4 linked regions of the Daphnia pulex genome follow. Each later gene encodes a partner of the first gene's protein in a complex. Links are inferred from orthologs where the notes say so. Each region holds a gene or a part of one and is shown on either strand. Other genes may lie near its edges.

Evidence for each region.
Region 2: transcriptional adapter 2-alpha-like (region 1) and molybdopterin synthase catalytic subunit-like share a complex: the UniProt entries of both Drosophila melanogaster proteins name them as parts of the ada2a-containing (ATAC) complex. The link is inferred for Daphnia pulex from reciprocal best matches to the Drosophila melanogaster genes Ada2a and Mocs2B.
Region 3: transcriptional adapter 2-alpha-like (region 1) and DNA polymerase epsilon subunit 3-like share a complex: the UniProt entries of both Drosophila melanogaster proteins name them as parts of the ada2a-containing (ATAC) complex. The link is inferred for Daphnia pulex from reciprocal best matches to the Drosophila melanogaster genes Ada2a and Chrac-14.
Region 4: transcriptional adapter 2-alpha-like (region 1) and protein Dr1-like share a complex: the UniProt entries of both Drosophila melanogaster proteins name them as parts of the ada2a-containing (ATAC) complex. The link is inferred for Daphnia pulex from reciprocal best matches to the Drosophila melanogaster genes Ada2a and NC2beta.

What each region holds. Positions count from the first base shown.
Region 1 is NC_060028.1:9,041,744-9,046,435, forward strand, and holds the end of transcriptional adapter 2-alpha-like, read right to left. Parts: intron 2,765-4,692; exon of another isoform or gene 2,760-2,764; 5' UTR 2,630-2,759; coding exon 2,572-2,629; intron 2,398-2,571; coding exon 1,022-2,397; 3' UTR 919-1,021; downstream 1-918. UniProt on the Drosophila melanogaster protein: Component of the histone acetyltransferase (HAT) complex ATAC; predominantly involved in acetylation of histone H4, including at Lys-6 (H4K5ac) and Lys-13 (H4K12ac).
Region 2 is NC_060026.1:10,880,889-10,886,608, forward strand, and holds molybdopterin synthase catalytic subunit-like, read right to left. Parts: upstream 3,474-5,720; 5' UTR 2,748-3,473; coding exon 2,619-2,747; intron 2,556-2,618; coding exon 2,443-2,555; intron 2,343-2,442; coding exon 2,155-2,342; intron 1,333-2,154; coding exon 1,238-1,332; intron 1,167-1,237; coding exon 1,001-1,166; intron 944-1,000; coding exon 615-943; 3' UTR 550-614; downstream 1-549. Other genes in the region: pecanex-like protein 1, read right to left, coding at 4,461-4,664, 4,727-4,867, 4,934-5,720. UniProt on the Drosophila melanogaster protein: Catalytic subunit of the molybdopterin synthase complex, a complex that catalyzes the conversion of precursor Z into molybdopterin.
Region 3 is NC_060025.1:6,578,885-6,583,198, forward strand, and holds DNA polymerase epsilon subunit 3-like, read right to left. Parts: upstream 2,436-4,314; 5' UTR 2,288-2,435; intron 2,087-2,287; exon of another isoform or gene 2,064-2,086; 5' UTR 2,053-2,063; coding exon 1,867-2,052; intron 1,796-1,866; coding exon 1,711-1,795; intron 1,653-1,710; coding exon 1,456-1,652; 3' UTR 1,379-1,455; downstream 1-1,378. Other genes in the region: E3 ubiquitin-protein ligase LRSAM1-like, read left to right, coding at 1-187, 250-334, 403-646, 725-1,033, 1,103-1,222. UniProt on the Drosophila melanogaster protein: Accessory component of the DNA polymerase epsilon complex. Participates in DNA repair and in chromosomal DNA replication. Histone-like protein which promotes nucleosome sliding of ATP-dependent nucleosome remodeling complexes.
Region 4 is NC_060021.1:11,078,564-11,083,014, forward strand, and holds protein Dr1-like, read right to left. Parts: upstream 2,350-4,451; 5' UTR 2,191-2,349; intron 2,108-2,190; exon of another isoform or gene 2,067-2,107; 5' UTR 2,058-2,066; coding exon 1,841-2,057; exon of another isoform or gene 1,778-1,840; coding exon 1,636-1,777; exon of another isoform or gene 1,577-1,635; coding exon 1,429-1,576; 3' UTR 1,378-1,428; downstream 1-1,377. Other genes in the region: uncharacterized protein LOC124194693, read left to right, coding at 1-11, 82-214, 281-373, 436-487, 554-700, 779-872, 940-972. UniProt on the Drosophila melanogaster protein: Bifunctional basic transcription factor. Activates transcription of DPE (Downstream Promoter Element) containing promoters while repressing transcription of promoters which contain TATA elements.

The sequences.
Region 1 (4,692 bases):
GACTGCGCCCATCCCTGGGATGGAAAATCACGAAAAAGGATGAAAAGGAAAATCTGTATTGTGACCAAAGGAGAAAAAAAAGAATAAAATATGAGGAATTTCAAGTGCATTTGCCTGACATGGGTTGGTCGACCGTGTTCAATATTGGAAGCTTCGCTTGGTTTGAATATCTTCCAGAATCTGTCGGAGTTCTTCGTCTTCAAATCGGCCTTCAAGACTGCGGGAAATCAAACAAGTCTTTCGTTATAAAAATCAATTAAGATATCAGTGACGGTTGGATGTACCTGGGAATGAGAGATTTGGCCTCTTCAGGGCTTTCCGGGCACAAATTAGCCAGAGCTGCCAGTTCGAATTTGTGCAATTTTTTCTGCATCAGCAAACTGGAGTTCAAGAAGAAAGAAAGAAAAAACAAAAGTAAGGAAAAAGTTGGGAATGAAGTCATTGATTCATTCCGGGAAAAAACAAACAAACAAATCAAACTTTCAAGAGCATCAACCTGCGAATGGCGGCGATAGTCTCACGATTCTTGAACTTGCTAAAGCGCTGAGTGTAATTAAGCGTCTTCATAAAGACTTCCGACAGTTCCTGCTCGTCCTCTGCGCTTTCATTCTGTAATTTACGATGGTCCAGCAACATGTGGACTTCAGATATCAGCAATGTTTCCGCATTCTCGAACTCTGTAATGATGTGGAATGGAGACAGAAGAATGAAACCGCATTAAGGGATGGTTCACTGTGCAAACTACTAAACTAGTGCCCACTCGTTTGTCGACTCTTTTTCTTTCTTTTCCTGCTGATCTAAGAAAACAAACCTGCATGAGCTTCCCATGACTACAAGCCCACACATCTATATATCTATATATATATATATATAACAGGTAATTCGAGATGATTTCAACACGCTAAAACGACATGAGGCTTGACTGTATAACGCAAGTTTATTGCTCATCTCCTCTTCCCCTCTCTCTCTCAGTCTCTCTGCCCCCTGTACAAAACATTATTATAACAAGTGGTGCCATAAATCAAGCGGGGAAGTAGATTAGTTTCTCTTCTAGGAGGAAATCAAAGATCTTGCGCGTCTTGTTCACATCAATCTTGATCAACGTCCTGGCCTGAGCCAGCCGAATGCCTTTGCGGTTGCGGCACTCGGCGATGAGAATGTTTCGAAATTCCATGTACGACTCGGGAACGAGACGTGAAACGGAGCACAACTGACGTTCGCCTTCGTTCAATTTGTCGTAACCGGGCAGACCGACAATGTCCAGCGGCGGTGCGCTCCTTCGCTGCTGTGGGAAAGGGCCAGCCGGGCTGACTAGAACGTTGCCGTTGCTTCCTTGAAGCAGGGCTGAGGTCACCAACTGTTGGTGCTGCTGCTGGACGGGGAACGCCACGTGAAGGTTGGCCGAAAACTGCTTCCACTGCTTCATGTGCTTCTCACGACGAGCCTGAAGCTGCGTGTAGATTTTGGCCGACGCCAGAGTCTTGATCCCCAAGTGGCGGTACCTTTGCAGCTGCTGGATTCGCTGCCGCAACTCGACATGTCCGTGCAAGCCTTCAAAGAGACTGCAGTGGTCTTGAAATTTGAACACCTGGGAAAACACCGAGAGACGCTCACAAATGCGATGTGTCAGCGTAGAGTCGTAGCGATAACGAGCCGCCAAATGACGATGAAAATTGATCAACCCGTGTTCCTGGACGATACGTTTCTTTCGAAATCTCTCGCGCAACTTGTCGTTGTACACTTGCACCACGGCCACGGCCAATGCACGTTCGAGTTCTAAAGCCTCTTGGTCGATTTCTTCGTCGGGATCGGGTTTCGTTTCATCCTGTAACGACGCCACGTCAAATTCTGCATTCTGGAAGGCTTCCACTTGGAAATCTCCTCGAGCAGCACAGTAACCGGCCATGTCTCTGTGGTAAACTGATCCAGGAACAGGCCTAGGGGGGTCGTGAGTTCCGGTTCTGTAGACGATAGGCTGAGGCCTGTACAGTCTCTCTGGACTTTTCGGTCTTGGTAGAGGTTCCACTGGGTCTTCAAGGTACCACTTGTTATAGTGGTTTGCACATTCTTCAGGACTGGCTTTGGAGCGTTTGGCAACCTCCGTCCAATTTGATGGCCCATGCGTAGACAACTGATCCAGCAAAGTGAGTTCTTCCCGAGCAGTCCAGTTGTCAAAGAGGTAGAAATCATCTCGTATGACCCTGTAGCTGTGATTGTTCAAATGGTGATTGCTTTCCTTTCCCTTGGCAAAGCACGTTGGGCACAAGTCCACTCTGACACACTCCTCGCACCTGATGTAAACTCCAGTCAGAGGGGTCTGACAAATGAAACACACTCGAGTCTGGGAACAATCTGTCGCCGGCCACACATTTCCACATGGTTCATCAGTCGACATTTCTAAGAAATTCGTTGCAAATGAATTAAACGTTCACGAAACGTGCAGTTCTTAGCCAGGTCTAGCCTAACAGCAATTAACTGTAATAACTGTAAATCCCTTTATGAAAACATATCAAGCCTAACACAGGGAAGCTCAAAACCGTAAACTGGGTAGGAAATTATAGTTCTTTTTACCTTTTGGGAACTGCAAAACAGCGGCATCTTCGTCACTGATCTCTGTGGCGGCCGCCATTTTCAAATGATATTAGAGTAAAGTGTAACGACGTTGCCAGACTTGCTGTTGTGATTTTCGTTGAAAATTTCATTTTTCGAAAAATATTCATTTGGCAATTTTGTACCAGTTTTTCCCAGCCGGATTTGACCTAGACTATCAGACAAAAATCAAAACGAATAAATTAATACTAATTGGAGTCCCAAAAACGTTACACAAATCATTGTGCAAAAGAGTGTGGCCTAGTGCCCTAGTCCACGTTTGTTGGATTTCTCTTCATTTCCAGGAAGTTGTTTTTAAAACATAATTTTTTCGCTCAAAACCGCACACAAGTCTGAGCACGAACAAGGCGCTAGAGATTTCGTAATCTCCAACATCCGGCAGTCCTGCACGGCACCACCTCGGCGAATCATCGGAATGGTTAATGCCAGCCAAATGAATAAAACAGATGGCAGCGAGCGATGCAGCACAACCAACCAGCCAGCCTGAATGATTATATACGAATATTTAAGAACACGGGGGCCTGCATGGTTCATAATTAAAAGGTTTTCTACCGACTCCCGCCATCAATAAGTGTTGGCTCAGGAACGTAATAATTGATTAAGAGCGGAATAGACAAAAATGCCGGGCAAAAAGATGGGCGTACAGGAAATATGAAGGAGAAAGTAGGATTATTAATTGATTAGAGTAGGCAACGAAGAATTCCCTATATTACACAATGTAATACGTCGTACATGATTAATGACAGAGAGAACTACGTTCCAAGTTATTTTCAAGAAGATGAGGAAGACTGCCGGATTATTCTTGCATAAAGACGTCGAAGTAAAACTTAAGGGAGAGAAAAGGAGCAAACGACGATGAAATAAAATACGAAGGATTATTGTAGTCGGAATACTTTTATAATAGAAGAAAAGGCCCTTCCGCATAAACTTTCACTCCGACCCCCCCTCTCCCCAAAAATGCACTTTGCGCAACATTTCCGGTTGCGGAGAAAACTTTACACTCAAAGAGGAGCTGGCAGAACAAGTTTTACCTAGTGTACGTCTATTTACCGTGTGTATAGACCCCCTCAACACACACACACAAAATAAAGGGAGGGGCACCTGTTGGGCTGACTATATATTAGAACGGATGGTAGGGGGTTGCTGTGGTGGTGGCGGAATCATCCACCCTAAACTTGTAATCCTTGCGGCGTTCGTTCACGTTCGTCCCTCTGCTCTAGCTCCTCTTTTCCATCACGTAATCTCTATGTTATTAAAGGATGATTGTGAGTGTCTGGTAATCCGCATTTCGCGCTGGCCAAAAGTTCGGTATTCTCTCTCTGCTACCAGCGATCCTGCCTGGACATCCTGTGCATTTCTGAACTAATTAGTAACATCTATATAAACCCCAGCTCCTCGTTCTAGATGATTATCCAATAGAAAAAGCTAATGGAGCTCCATTCGCGACGCCATTTTCATCCGCCTCACGTGAGAATTTGGGGAACAATAAAAAAATCCCAATCCATCGATTTTTACATTTTAAATGTTTCCCAATTTAGGACAATATAAAAGAAAGCGATCGAAAATAAATTCATTAATTGAAGGACCCCGCCCACTTTGCCGTGAGCCAAACCGATCGACAAGCGTTTTAATAATAACAATCAAAGAATTCCGCTTGGCGGCTTAATCTCTCCGTTCTTCCGTCTTCCGCAACAGCAGTCGGCCATAATAATGGCAACTATTTTGTACGGATTATTCGCCCCTCCTCCCCATCGTAATAATAATAATAATAATAATATATTGGGGCTCAGCATCCAGCAGGGTCTTCTTCTCCGACAATAAAACCCACCGCGGAGCCAAAGCGGAAGGAAAAAAAAAAGAGAACGTGCCTTATAAGCCCCGAGACCCAAGTTTTGTTATGTCTTTCCGAGTCGGAAATCAAGAGAAATCGGTCAAAGATATTACACGAGAAATAATTGACATAACTTTAGTTGCCTATTCGGTTGTTATTGGAAAATTCTGCGAGTAACAAGTTCACCTACTTTTTCTACTGGCCGGATCAATGAATCCATCCATTGCAGATGGGAGGAGCAAAAGTCAAAA
Region 2 (5,720 bases), on another chromosome or scaffold:
AGCAAGAAATACATACATAAATGTATAGTAGCCTACGTCTTTTTATTCTTTATTTTCTACCCTCCTCCTCCTCCTCACTCCATCCGCATCGGAGCTTGCGGAAAAGTCAATCGGATGATTTGGTTTGTTGTTGTTTGCTTTTGTCATCATTGCCTGGGAAGAGATCCAACTCCGGGCCTCTTCTTATTATTGGCTCTACCCAACGTATAGATATAGTCATTTATATACCATATTTTGTATCCACATCGAAATATCACCAGCCGGACATGCCAATCCGCCAGGATGAAACGGTCAAAAATCGAAAAAAAAAAAATCAAAAATTCGGCTACCCCCTGAAAGTTTTCCGTTAATATCTCCAAAAATATGTTAGCTAGACGATTGCGACTTTCACAAATGGACGTAGAAATTTATATCAATAATACCCGATCAACTTTATGACAGTATTTCCCCCTAAACCTTTTGCCAGTAGCCAAGAAGTCTACTGCCCCGCCTCTGTCCCTCGGCTCCCAGACTACAATAAGCAATAATAACTAATAACTAATAAGGCAATTACCAATTTGAAGGATGCATTATATTTTATTGATCAGATTACAACCAGAAAAAAGAAAGTGGTACTATACTAATTTTCTACGTAATTCATCCATTTTTTGTTCAATTTTTGATATCAAATCTTCATCTTCTTTATTATTCTGAAGATTAAACGGTCCGTCGAAATATTCAGGACTAATGCTTTCCAAATGAAGGATTCTATCTTCAAGGGCTTTCAAGCGTCCGTACACATCCAGTGGAATAGGTTGTTCTCTTGAATTAAAACCCAAGTGTTTTTCCATATTTTGTAGCCGTTCTTGGATAGCAGGAGTCGGATTCAATTTGGTGTTTACTGAAGATGGAGCCGGAACTTCAGAGTGTGTTTGTGGTCCCCACATATTTACGCATCTCGACACTAAAACGTAAAGAAATCAGTAATCAGCGTTGAATCCTTAAAATAAAATAATTTTACCCTTTAGATGACTTTTACTATCTTTTCTGCTTACAAGCACTGCCTCTGTGCGAGCACATGAATTCTCTAATTCGTTTAATGGTAGTCTGTGACAGAACTCCTGAACGTTGAATACGTCCGACTCTGATCGTTTCCGTTCCATAAACGCAGTAATTCGTTTTCCCAACTGAAAAATTAAAAACATTTAAAATATTTATTGAGAAAAGACTTGATAAAAGTAAAACGGATCAACAATACCTCTAAATTTGAAGCCTTGATCTGAACGCAATCGGCAGCTGCATAGTCCACCATTATTTTCCTCTTTTTAGATAGACTAGCGTCTTCTTCTTGATCTATATCAATTCAAAACATGCTATTGACTATTAAGCATCTATCACATCAAGCAAATATTCCAACAACTCATTCTCATGGAAATAAAAAATTTCAAATCCCGAATTTCCCCACCTAACAAGATTAGAATATTTTCGTACTTATTTTTTTTAATTTTGACTAATAAAAACTTCTGAACGCTTGTGCTTTCTTTAAGCCATACTTCTATAAGCCAAATAATCAAATGACGTACGCGGCAGTGAAGGGAACAAATGCAGAAGTCACAACTAAATACTAAATAAAGGACGTCTATGTGTGGTTGTCCCTATTCCGTCAGATAATTAGCTTAAAGCTTATAGGCAGCAAAGCTGTCGAACCACACGAAAACGTCTAATAGATTGAAGCAGTGCGTAGAATGCAGCATTGCAGCTACTCATCTTTAGAATCACACAGTATATGTTATTATATAATGAAAGGGCAAAGATTGGAAAGCGTTGGGAACTGGAAAGTACTTGGATAATAAGTAAAATGAATGTTAACATTGCTTAGTTAAAAAATAAAAAGAGAATTAAAAACCCTTAAAAACCTTATATTTTAAATGTCAGACTTGACAGCACTACGTAGATATTATCACTTTAGTAAGATTGAAACTACAGCCAAACTAACGTTCATGCTCCGATTTTTAACTAATGAAAAGTACTGGAAACCATTTCAAATATTGTTCTGATATCGGAAAATCGATTAAGGTTCAATATTTGTGTTACTTGTTAAGAATCAGTACTGTTATGAATTCAAAATTCATACAACAAATAGGAACAACTAAGCATTATTTGTTTAATTTTTACTTGTCCACAGGCATTCTTTGTTGGCTTTCCATTCAGGAGCACCATCACTATAAAGTTCTTTCTTCCAAATTGGTACAGACTTCTTAAGCGCGTCAATCCCAAATTGAACAGCCTCTAAAGATTCGGCTCGATGCTCGGATGAAACAGCTATTACAACACTTGCTTCACCAACCGGAACTTCTCCCAATCTGGAAAGAAAAATAGGTAATTAAAACAAACAAACAAACAAAAAAATGTTTCTTAAGTTTCCTCATTATAACTACAGTATGGTAAAAAAAAAAATTATACCTATGGTGGAATGCAATGTGTTTAACCTTCCATTTTTCTCTAATATTCTCACAAATTTTCTTGATTTCTTTACATGCCATTGGCTTGAAAGCTTCATACTCTAGACTAATCACCTTAAATATAAAGCAAATTTGATTTAGAAATATTTGACTTTAGATTATTCAAATTGACATTACTTTCTTTCCTTCAAAATTATTCCTTGTTGTTCCCACAAATAATGACACAGCTCCAGTAGAATGTTCAACCACTTTAGAGTAGATTGAATTCACATCAAGCTGTTCTTCAACTAAGTTAATAATATCCATTTTAAAATACAATTGAAGGGCTCTGGCGAATTAAGCTGTAGCACACTGCTTATGAAGAATCCTAGCGACCTAGCCACCACTTAATGGTGGGATCACTGCAATTTCCTTGCAATTTTTAATGTCTATAAGCTGATCAAATTCAACATATTCTTCATCAGCAGCTAGGACAATGTTCTTTGATATGGATTCTAGAGCTGGAAATTGTTCTGTAATGATGCACAAAAGATTTGCCCCAGTGATTCTTGAAGTTGTTCTGGAAAGTGAAATATTGTCAAAATCTTTTCCAACTAACTCTCTGGCCTTTGCAAAGAACAGAATCCGAATAACTACTTCATCCATTGATCAAGGTCAAGACTACAGCATCCCTGACTATAATTTTAACCAGATTTGTTGACATGTAACAATCAATAAAAAAATATATGTTAATTAGTTGTCACCGCAAAAGTAAATTTAACTTTGAGTAGTAATCTTGATTAGCAATACGCTCTTCTTATGCGTTGACTATGTGTCTGTAAAACTGTGACAGAGGCTCGGCAATCAGAAAAGCGTCTGGTCACTGGTCGTCTGCTGGCACTGGCAAGTGGGAAGTGGCAATGACATAAAGAGACTAAAGCGTATTTTTTAAAAATTCAAAAATTGTAATATGCGCGGAGTTTTTCTTGCGCGCAAAATATATACATTAATTTTATGCCCCCTTATCTGCAAGAAGCCAACAACGATGCAAATATTCTATGCAACTTTATGTGTATTGTGTATAGATGTTATACCCTTGAAAAAGTAGTGGTCTAGCAAAAAATCGTGCGCAGTTTACGCCGATGCGCACCACAGCGGCAGATAGCAGAACTAAACTTTTTATTACGCTTGACTACCTGTCTACTTCAAGAAACGAGACGAGAACCGACTGCTTGTCGAACAAAGGACTTGAAGTAGACAGGTAGTCAAGCGTAAAAAAAAGTTTAGTTCTGCTATCTGCCGCTGTGGTGCGCATCGGCGTAAACTGCGCACGATTTTTTTCTAGACTACTACTTTTTCAAGGGTATAACATCTATATCGTATCAGAGCGATCGTATTCGTTCACCGATTCTTTCATAATCAACAATTTCATAATATTCAAATTTCAAACTATGTGCATACCGGCATACTATTGTCAGGGGTATGGAGAGATTTATGGAGATATCTTTCTCTCCATACCCCTGCTATTGTTATTTAAAAATCCGACAAGTTTTTCTATCAGACACCAAATAAAATGACAGGCGCATTCTTATGCTACTGGAGTCACTCCTCTATGCGACTGTTAAGTGTTTACTTTCTCACCATCACTCCTTGTGTCACTACTAACACGGGAATTTTCGTGATTTTAATAATTAACAGTAACTATGAGGCGGGTGCGGTAGTTGAATAAGGAAAAATCTAAATATATAGTTCCTAGACTACAAACAATCCAAAAGTTTATTTGTTTCGAATTACTCAATTTCAAATTTCATTCGACATTTGAAAAACTCGGTAAACGTTATTGACAATGTTTTCAAATCACAGTGGTTTTTCCTAGTCAATGTCAAATAACACATAGCATTTCCGCATAACACAAACATTATTTACAAAACAAGGTTCGTGAACAAATTTCGGGGTTCACATTCAAACCAAAATACCGTTTCATATTACAACGATGAGCCTAATGGACTCGAAAAAAAAACACTGCGGCGTTTGGGAATTTCAATCAGCAACTCCCTGGGTTTTAAGCTTAGTATCATTAACGACGATAGAATCCCCGATGTTGACACTAACCAATGATGCAATTTCGACCGCCGATTCGGCGATTGGGACGTATTTATCGTCTATTTTCAAGAGAAGGATGACGCGATCCACGTGCGATCTTTGTCGCGAATCTGGATGATTAGGCACCCAACGATGTACCACCTAATCAAACACAAAGTACAGTAAAAGGAAAACTATTCACCCATCGCGTATAGTTTTCTTACCTGTCCTTCCATACCCACTTCGGGAAGCCATGATTTCCAATAAGATTTTCCACCTTGGTTACGAATTGTTGGACTTGGCCAGAGAACATCAATTCGTCGGCCCAGATTAATGGTATCGTAGACTTGATTGGGATCGACAATCTGAGTAGAGAAAAAATAAGTAAATTAATTTACAAATATACAATTTAGAAGAGCTTTAAAAAGTACCTTGACTCGTTGGTCGACAGAAATCCTGTTGTCCATAAACGGCTCCGTTTCGTACAGAGGTCGGTCAGTGTCGACAGTTTCAAGTCTGTCGAAACGGTCGCGTCTAGAACGATCTCGTCTGCGACTCCTTTCTCTTGCACCACGTCTTTCTTCTTCGCCACCTCTACCGGAAGAATTTCTCTGTCGAGCTGTAGCGCTACTACTAGATTCTGGTGCTGTACGACGTAAACGAACATCACGTTCCTGAGACTCGGAACCACGACTGGGACGTCTTTCACGGACGGATGGAGCACTTCCATTTAACGTCCCACTTCCCATGGGCGTCGAAGTGGTCGTCGCGGCGGCGGCAGCGGCTGTGACTGAATCCCTTTCGGCCAGCATTCCTGCTAGGCTTATGAGAGTGGAGCCGGACGGTTTTCTCAATGTCCCGCTCATCGTCGAGGCAATGCTACCTCTTTGGGTGCCCAATGAACTACGTGGACTCGATCCTCTTGCCGTGTTGAACGCAAACGAATTCATTCCGGCATTAGAAGCATTTAACGCGGCGTAGGTTCCTAAGCCCATTGGTCCGAGTGCGCTGCTAGTTGATCCCGTGAAGCTACATGTGAATGCCGGATACCCTCTTCCAACAGATGCCGTTGCAGTATTACCATTCAAGCTTCCTGTTGCTGTCGTGGTTGGCACCAAATTGGAGCGAAGATTTTCCAAGCTAATTTCTACATCGGCACACTGCACCCCTCCAGAACCTCCTACTCCTCCTCCTGATCCGCCACTGGAACAGCCTTCT
Region 3 (4,314 bases), on another chromosome or scaffold:
TCAGAACAGCTTTATAAAACTGAAGCTGAAATGGAAGCCAGTATTGTTTATGTATTAAAAAATATCCAGGCCCACAGAGATCAGATACAACTTCAGGATCTAGTAAAAGCAGAAGAAAATCAATGTCATTGCCTACTGGCCCTCAAGTTAGAAGAATTCAAGAATCTTAGAAAAGAAGATATTTTGAGTAAATCATTATCACAAGTTGAAATGTTATAACTTGTAAAAATCCGGTCACTTCTTGAACAGATGCTATGAAAACCCAGCTTGAACAAGACATATCCAGTCAGAAAACAATGTTGAATAAAACCCTATTCAATGTGGTGCAAATGGAGTAAGCCTAAGCATTATTATCGAACACAATTTTGTTGGTATTAAAAGATTTTTATGGTTAATTTTTAGGGATGAAGTAAAAAATCGTCAGATTGACCAAATTTTGCAGCATCGGCAAAAAGACCAAGCTGCTCTAGTCATGTCGTTATTAGAAGAAGAATCTTGGCAGTACCAAGCGTTTTCGTCATTGTTATCCCAGCGTGATCGGCGGACCACCCAGCTTAGCGAAGATATTCGAGCCGTAGTAGATAAACTTAATCAGCTTACCGCTTGGGAATTACAGCGCAAAAGCAGGCAAATCGATATTACTAACGTGAGTGCAAAGTCTGAAATACGTATGACTTTAATTTGGTCATTTATTAATTCCTTTTTTTTTTCTTATCGATCCTAGAACTTGCTCTCGGAAAATCGTATACAACTGGCTGACTTGCTTTCCCAGTTAATAGAGCAACAGCAGCTGCGTCGTAAAGATCTAAAACACCTCTTGGAAGAAATGGAAGTCCAGCGACAGAACCAAGCGGCCGACTATTGGCTTGTCCAGTATCAGCGTCTAATCGATAACATGCCTGATAATATTCAACATGCACAACAGTATCTTCCAAGTGCGCCTTCCTCTGTACTCGATGATGAGGAGGTGGCATCCGCTCCTCCGATGGAAGTTTTTATGGAAACTAATTGCGTCATATGCTTGGACAGTTCAGTAAGCTTACATTTATTACAGTTCAATTTTTCAAAACGAATTCATTCTAATTGCATTTATATTAAACAGTGCCAAGTTATATTCCTTTCTTGTGGACACTTATGTTGTTGTTCTGGATGTGGCAACAAGCTAAATCAATGCCCAATGTGCCGGGCAACCATCGTTAAACGACTGCAGGTTCACTCATAATGTTATTTATTTGCTTTTTAGCTTTTCATCGGTCATATCTTTGTGCCTTTGGCATCCTAAAAAAAATGTTTTCTTCATTTTTATCTTGTCTGTTGCTACTGTCGTTTCGAGACGTAAATCACACTTTAATTTTCACAGTATACAAACTATTTGAGGTCGTGTTTTTTTTTCTTTTATTAATTTTTTTGTCGTGCGAATACAAATTTTATCACACATTTTTTTGTCATTTAAGATCATTCATCCACTTCTTCATCCTCATTCTCCTTTTCATTTTCATTATCATTTTCATTGTCATTTTCATTATCATTTCCATTATCATTTTCTCCACCTTCATCTGATCCTTCTTCAATATCTTCCGGTTTTTTGTCGGATTTTTCCTGTTTCCGTTTAGCCATAGCTTCTTTGCGTTCCTTCTGTGCTTTCTTGTACACTGTAAAAGAAAAGAACATGTTGACATTCTAAAAATTGTTTTGAAAAAGAGAAATTACCTTCAAGAGAAGCCTGTAGTGGTTCAATAAATCTTTCAAATTCCATGTCAGCCATTGCTCCCAGGACATCCGGGCCACTGATGATCTTTATTTAACAAAAAAATTTTAGTAAATAATTGAGAGAATGGAACAAAATTTTCTGATTCTGTGATTCACCTTTCTGTTAGCTTTCATAGCCAGATTGTTAGAGCATGATGTGCAATAGAGAACAAATACAGAAGCAGCTTTAGCAATGGCGGTTCTAGCCTCTTTAGACACATTAACACCTTCTGGCAAGGATTCTTTTATGATTCTTGCTACTATTGAGTTGGGAAGGTTTAAGTCTTCAGGTCGTTCTGCCATTGCTTACGTACCTGGGAAAATCAAAACAAAATTCCTGTCATCAGCTAGATACATTAGTTGAACAAAACATATATTTCATCATATGAATTCTATTCAAATCAATAAAGAGAGAAAATGTCACTTATTATTTCAAATAATAACACCATTTAGTCATTTCCAAGAGATTTCTAGAAACTTTTTAAAAAATTAACTACACTTGTTACAAGATTTTCATAGGAAAAAGAAAACATCCTACCTGTCAAAACTTCTCCTACAATAATTTATTTCCGATTATACCGAAACCAACACTCCGACACTTGAAAACTTCAGATTTTTGCTGAAACAAATACACAGTCACAGTTGATGATTTCGATGTTGCTTCTGCTACAATAAAGGGCGGGAAAATAAGAAGTGCCAAGACCACATCGCCATCTGTGAGTAATATTCTAACCGTTTGCACAAATAAGTTTTTCGCCCCCGTTAGACCAGCAGTCGCGAGTCGCATAATAAAGAGGCGTATGATAAAGATAAATAATAATTTTTTTTATGTAGCACGAAGAAGATAAGCAGATCTTAATATATGAACAGACAAGATATAGGTTAAATATCAAACTAGTGAAATATCAATTTTATTACACCAATATTTAGTATTTACAGTACATTGTTGCTTCAGCAGCTTAGATTGGTTATTCTAACTTGAACCGATTTTGTTTTACTAGTATTATTTATTGTATCTTGAACAACACTTGGATGTTAAAACAAATCGACATGAAAATTTTAACAATCGTGATCACTTCTGTTCTTATTAGATTCAATAACGATTTTGACGGAATGGATGGAGATCACCAAATATGACGTACGCAAAAGACGGCAAAAGATCGTTAGACTTGTCGTTAGATAGTGTCAAGAGCGGCATGTGTAATAGGATAACAAACTTTCCTCCTTTTCGCCAAGCCACTCTACATCTCCGAGTCAAAGGGACCCAAACTTCCTTTAGCAGCCAAAAGTTAGATTTCCATCGATGCTAATCTTACAAGGGAATGACTGTTGTGTGTACCTGAAAACTTTTGAATGGATAATCGCTTGCTATACACCCGTATATAGCCTATAGGGAATAATAGATTGCCAAACGCCGAAATTACGAGAAGTTAGATTATTGATTTGCGACTCTAACTTTCACTTATAAAATTCGTTTCTCGGAAACCTCCTACCATCCCCAGTCGCCTACAAATCAGGTCATGGAATTCAAGACAAGTTTGATCCAAAGATATATTTTCAAATCCTACACAAAGTGTGAGAGTCGGGAATCAGAGAAAAGGCAGGATATGCCCCGGGATACTACTCATCCACTCCGACTCCAGGCAACGGATACAAAACTGATATACGCTGTGTCGCTGTCTACCATTGGCCCCTTCAGACCTACATCCGCCCACATCGGAAACTGTAAATCAGACGTGGATGGAAAAACAAAAAGTTGAAGAAATAAGTCTGACGCTCTTTTGAATGAGACGGATAAATGAACAAGTTTTGCTTACTCCCAAGTTTCTCTATAAATAAATAACAACAATTTAAGAAACAAATCTCTACTAAAATAATGGTTCATCTTTTTTTTTAAATAGACTAGGTAATCAAACTGTCTTTAATCATCGTTAATTTCATATATAATTTTTCCGATCTCAAAATTTTTCAAAGACATCAATCGCATCATTTTTTATCCTGTATATTTTTATCCGCGTGGGCGTACACCAGCAATCATCCCATCAGGATTTAACACGGGAGTTTTGTTTTTTGTTTTTTAATTTCTCATCCTTGACACGCGTGACAGACTTTCTTGTCAAAAAGTTTGACATGCGCTTTCCCGTTAACACATTTTGTTAGAGATCGGCCGTGTGAACTGTCTGTGAGCACTTGGCGACGAATAAGATAATCAATTGCTTCGCGCCTTGTTAGTTTATTTCCCCCGCATGTTTTTCGCTTTCATGTTTTATTTTCGAAAAGTGGAATGGATGGGATCCGGATCCCGCAGGAATTAGCAATAAGAGCGGGTGATTACGTCTGCAATACAAACCAAGCGAAAAGTCGAAATTGGTCGAAATTGGTTGTGTGCTGTATACGCGTATATATATTTAGCCATGCCTTGTTTGTAGACGCTAGACGGGATCTATAACGACGCGGAGTTATCGGGAGTTATGATTTCGATCTGCTTACTTATTATGTAAGTATCTCTTTCAGCTGCTGCTGCTGCGCGGTCCTCGAAAGGTATATGGAGCTCTTGCTCTCCCG
Region 4 (4,451 bases), on another chromosome or scaffold:
TTTACATTCAGGTAATGTTTTACATGAGTTAAAATTTTAATAATTGTGAAATAATGGATATCGTACTGTATGTGAGATTAGAAATTCGATGAAAAGGCTGGAACGAATGATGCTCGCATGCCGCTACCAGAGCCGACTGACTTGGATAAAGCTGGACACTTAAAATTCGAAGAGCTAGAAGCTAGTCTTAGACAGCTAAATAAAGAAATTGAAGGTACAACTTTTTTTTTATGAGGTAGCTAATTCGAATCGCAATTAAATTTATTGTTATTTTTTGCAGGTATTGAACAAAAAGCTAACCAAGTAATAGCGGCATCGGAGGAGATACATTTGGAGCCATTCAAGGAAAAAATGGAGTCTTTTTTTGTGCAAGGTTTGGATCTCATGAAATGAGTTTACAATTTTCTTGTGTTTTTAAATCTATTTTTCTTTTAGCAAAAAAGTCACTATCCGAGGAAGAAGAAAATTTGACAGAATGCAAACAAAGGTAATTATAATAGGAAGAAGTTTGACTATTAAATTGTCATTACTGGTCATTTATTTTCTCTTGTAGATTTGAAGCCGTTTTGAAATATTTCAAATTCACACCTAAAAAAAATTCAGAGCTCGACCCAAAGGATTTCTTTGGTTTGTGGTCTACGTTTGCGTCAGATTTTAAAGATATTTGGAATCGTGAACAGCAACGTATTATCAAAGAAAAGTAAGCCTTTTTTATATTTTATTAATTTTTTTATTTATTTTATTAACACAACAATTCATTCTTCTTTCGCGGATTCAGTTTGGATAAAGCTAAGCAAGCTGTGAAACAGAAAAAATTACAGAGTAGTTCAAGTTATGGCTATGCTAAATCGAAAACTGACGAGGGAACTTTGGTAAGTCGTCCAGTTTATTTGCTCTACTTTTAAGATATGGTCTAACAATGTTTTTGCAATTTTACAGAAAGCAAGATTGCTTAGTCGAAAAAAGAAATAATGTTTGGAATTTCACTTTTGCCTTTTCATATTTATATATAACTTCTTTTTCCACCACGACACACGTACTTTTGTCCAATACCACTATGATAAAGTTGAATTTCTCGTAATCTCGTAACACTTAGATGTCGATCAAAGGCTTGGTTTGTCCATGTTATTTATCCTCTCAAACCTTATTATACTGATATAAAGTCGATTTGCGGCTTGTCGAATTGTTAAGCATTCAAAATGAAAAATAACTTGTTAATTATGCAATAAGTCATGCAGTTAAATTCTTTCCAAATATGAGGTATCTGAGTAGTATAAATAATGCTTCAAGTACAAAAGTAAAGAATGTTAGGATGGTACTGATAAATAATAATTAAGACAACAGTAGAAATATTTCAAATACACTTCATTAAGCTCATTCTAGAAATCAAATTTTGTATGTATTGAATCAAATTTCACAAACAATCTTCTAAGAGTATTCTCCATCTTCTGAATTTGATGGAACATCTCCCTGTTGTTGCTGCAAGGACATTTGAGCCTCTGCTTGAAGTTGTAGCCACTGTTGCTGCTCAGCAGCAGCTTGTTCTTCTCTGGCTTTGGCAAATAATTCCTGCTGTCTATATTTTAAAAAATATGTATTAGACTAATTAAATCATAAAAAAGTGATAAAACTTACTGTCTCAATAGCTCTTCTTCTGGAATTCCCAAGTTTTCCAACCTTGTACTTTGGCGCCTCCTTTTGGCAGCAACAGCTTTACAATCTTTCAACACTGCTTCAGCATCAGTACGGTAGTCATTGAATCCAAGCCTATCTAATGCTACAACCATGTGTGTTAGATTATTTTTCCTTTCCATTACTTTACAACATTTGTAACAATTACCTCCAAGTATATGCTCTGCATTAATAGTCTTTTTCTGTTGCTGAGTACAAATTTCATTAGCCTCTGAAGCCAAAAGGTGTATGAACTCAGAACAACAGTTAAGAATCAATTCTCTAGCTTCATTGGCAACTCGGACACTGGGAACAATCTCTTTAATCATTTTGTTCATAGCAGCTCTCGGAATGGTCAATTCTTCTTCTGGCACAGCTTCTGCCATCTTTAAAGCCTGTATATCAGAAAAAAAACCTACTGTCCACAAACAGAAAACTTTATGAAGAGCAAAGGCTTTGTCAGCCAATACTAGAAGGAAACCGTAATATTGAAAAACAAATTTATGACTCATTATATACCAGAAAATTATATACGTAGAATTAAAAGAACAGCACACACGGTAAGAGTATGATCCTAAATTCTTTCAAAGTTTTCACTAATAATTAACTTTTCTCTCGTGCAGAAGAATGCATAAACAAAGCAATACAACAAACTACACCAAACACACTAGATAAGAAACTAAAATGAATCGCTAAAATAACCTTTTTTTATGCGCCTCTACCAATCGTATACAGGTACTAGGTTGGGAATGTCCAGAACCTTATCCATCTGGTGGCTGCGACTAGTACTTCGTATCCGACTGATAGAATATATCAGCTTGCACCATTATCAGCTTGCACCATTAGTTAGGCAATCCAAATTCATTATCATTATAGGCATTACGAAACAAAAACTAAAAAAGACCATTGTTTTTTCCCCGCATAATTCAGAATCAGGTCATTTTTGGTTGTAAAATTGCTGTCATCCCCCTGTGATTTCCACGCAAACCTTGAAATGATTGTCATTTTTATACTACAATTTCTACTTCATCGTCGGTCCGCGAGGAATTAGAGGAAAAGTCATTGACAAAACCAAGAATACGCCTAGGTCGACCACGGCACCACGCAAGGAAAAGAAAAATTCCGGGTAAAATATCTAAACTTCATTCGTGTTGCTTATAGCAACTCGATCTATTGAAGGTTGTTGACAAGCAGTGTTATTGTGCGTGTTAGCTTTGTTTTTTAAATTCGAAATTCAGAGACCGAGTGTGATTCTATTTGCGCTGTTTGTAAGCAGAGCTATAGATGACAGCGTGTATGGCAGAGCTATACATCTATAACTCTGTTGTAAGCATAAAAGGCTAGATATTTTAATTTAAACCTGAAGTCCTTAATGAATAGGATATTTGTCGTTTGTAGTTTGAATATGTTTTTTGATTTTTTAAATGAAAACAAAATCACAAAAGCCCTTTGCTTGCTAACGGAGATCAACAACTGAGAAGTTAGAAAGAATTCGGGTAATTTTCTGAACTTCGTAAAAGGGCAACGTCGCTTCCCATTCCTCACGGAAGTTCGTCTGCACTGTGCAAGTCTGCAGACTGCATTGCAGATTGGTGAGTTGGTGACGATGACATCATCTGCATATTTTTTCAAAGTTTCAATCATGGAATTGTTCGATTGTAGTGACTAGTACGCAATAATGAGTCCGTTCACTCTAAAGTTTGTTTATATTTCTCGATTGTCTAACTTATGTTACCCACGGGTGTCCCGTTGCACCGTGGACCTTGGAATGTGGATTGTGGTCGGTGAGAAATTGACGGTGGTAAAGAAACTATTGCCTGGGGGACCGTAAGGAGTGATATTAATCGAGCAGCCCCATCAATTCCAATAGTTGCTTGAAAATTTGGGCAAGAACGAATTTGAAAAGCCCTTTGTGCTTTGTCTGCTGCAATACAACTTGAGGCAGGTGGCTACCATGTTACAGTTGGAAAACAAGCACATAATTAAATCACCTTGCTTTTGTCGTAAAACACACTAATGATTTATTACATTTTAGGTCAAAACAAATCCTGTCTGGATCTTGACGTAGAAATTGATAGACATACTTTTCATACTGTTGTCAAAGTTGAGAAAGAAGAAGACAGACATAATCTACTCTCTGCAACACTGGCATTATATTGGCCCACTTTCACGTTGATTTACCATATTGGTCTGGTGGAGTAACCATCAGTGGGAAAGCAGTGGTCCCAAAATATTAATCCCAGTCTCCTTTACTAGCCAACGTCATTTTCAAGTTGGGGATGGAATACCAGCACAAAACGTACGTTAATCAGCAAACGCGTAATGTAATAACGCTCAATATTAGTAGGTTGCTACAACTTTAGTCAATATACCCAAAAATATCTCACGGACTGACGACAAAACTGAAATTTATGGCCTCAATCCAGGTCAACCAACTTCTGAAGCTTAGCCATTTTATGATCGTGCCCAGCCCCAAAAAATCCCCCAGTCGACGTCAACTCCAACGCAACCTGCTGCAGCCAGCACTGGAAACTCGCGAATACGAGGAACTACACAACTTTCTTCGGCAGTTGCATACCCACAAGAGCTCCTGGCCGTTCCTCAAGTCTGTGGCTGTAACGGAAGTCCACAACTTTTATAAGATCATCAAGATTACAAAGAGTTATTACTGATGACTTGGTGAGTTTGTTGGCGACATCATCAAGATTTAGCGTTTTCATTTAACAAAAGTTGGTAAGGGTAAAGTGCTCACGCGTATAAGAGAGTGAGACACATTGCAA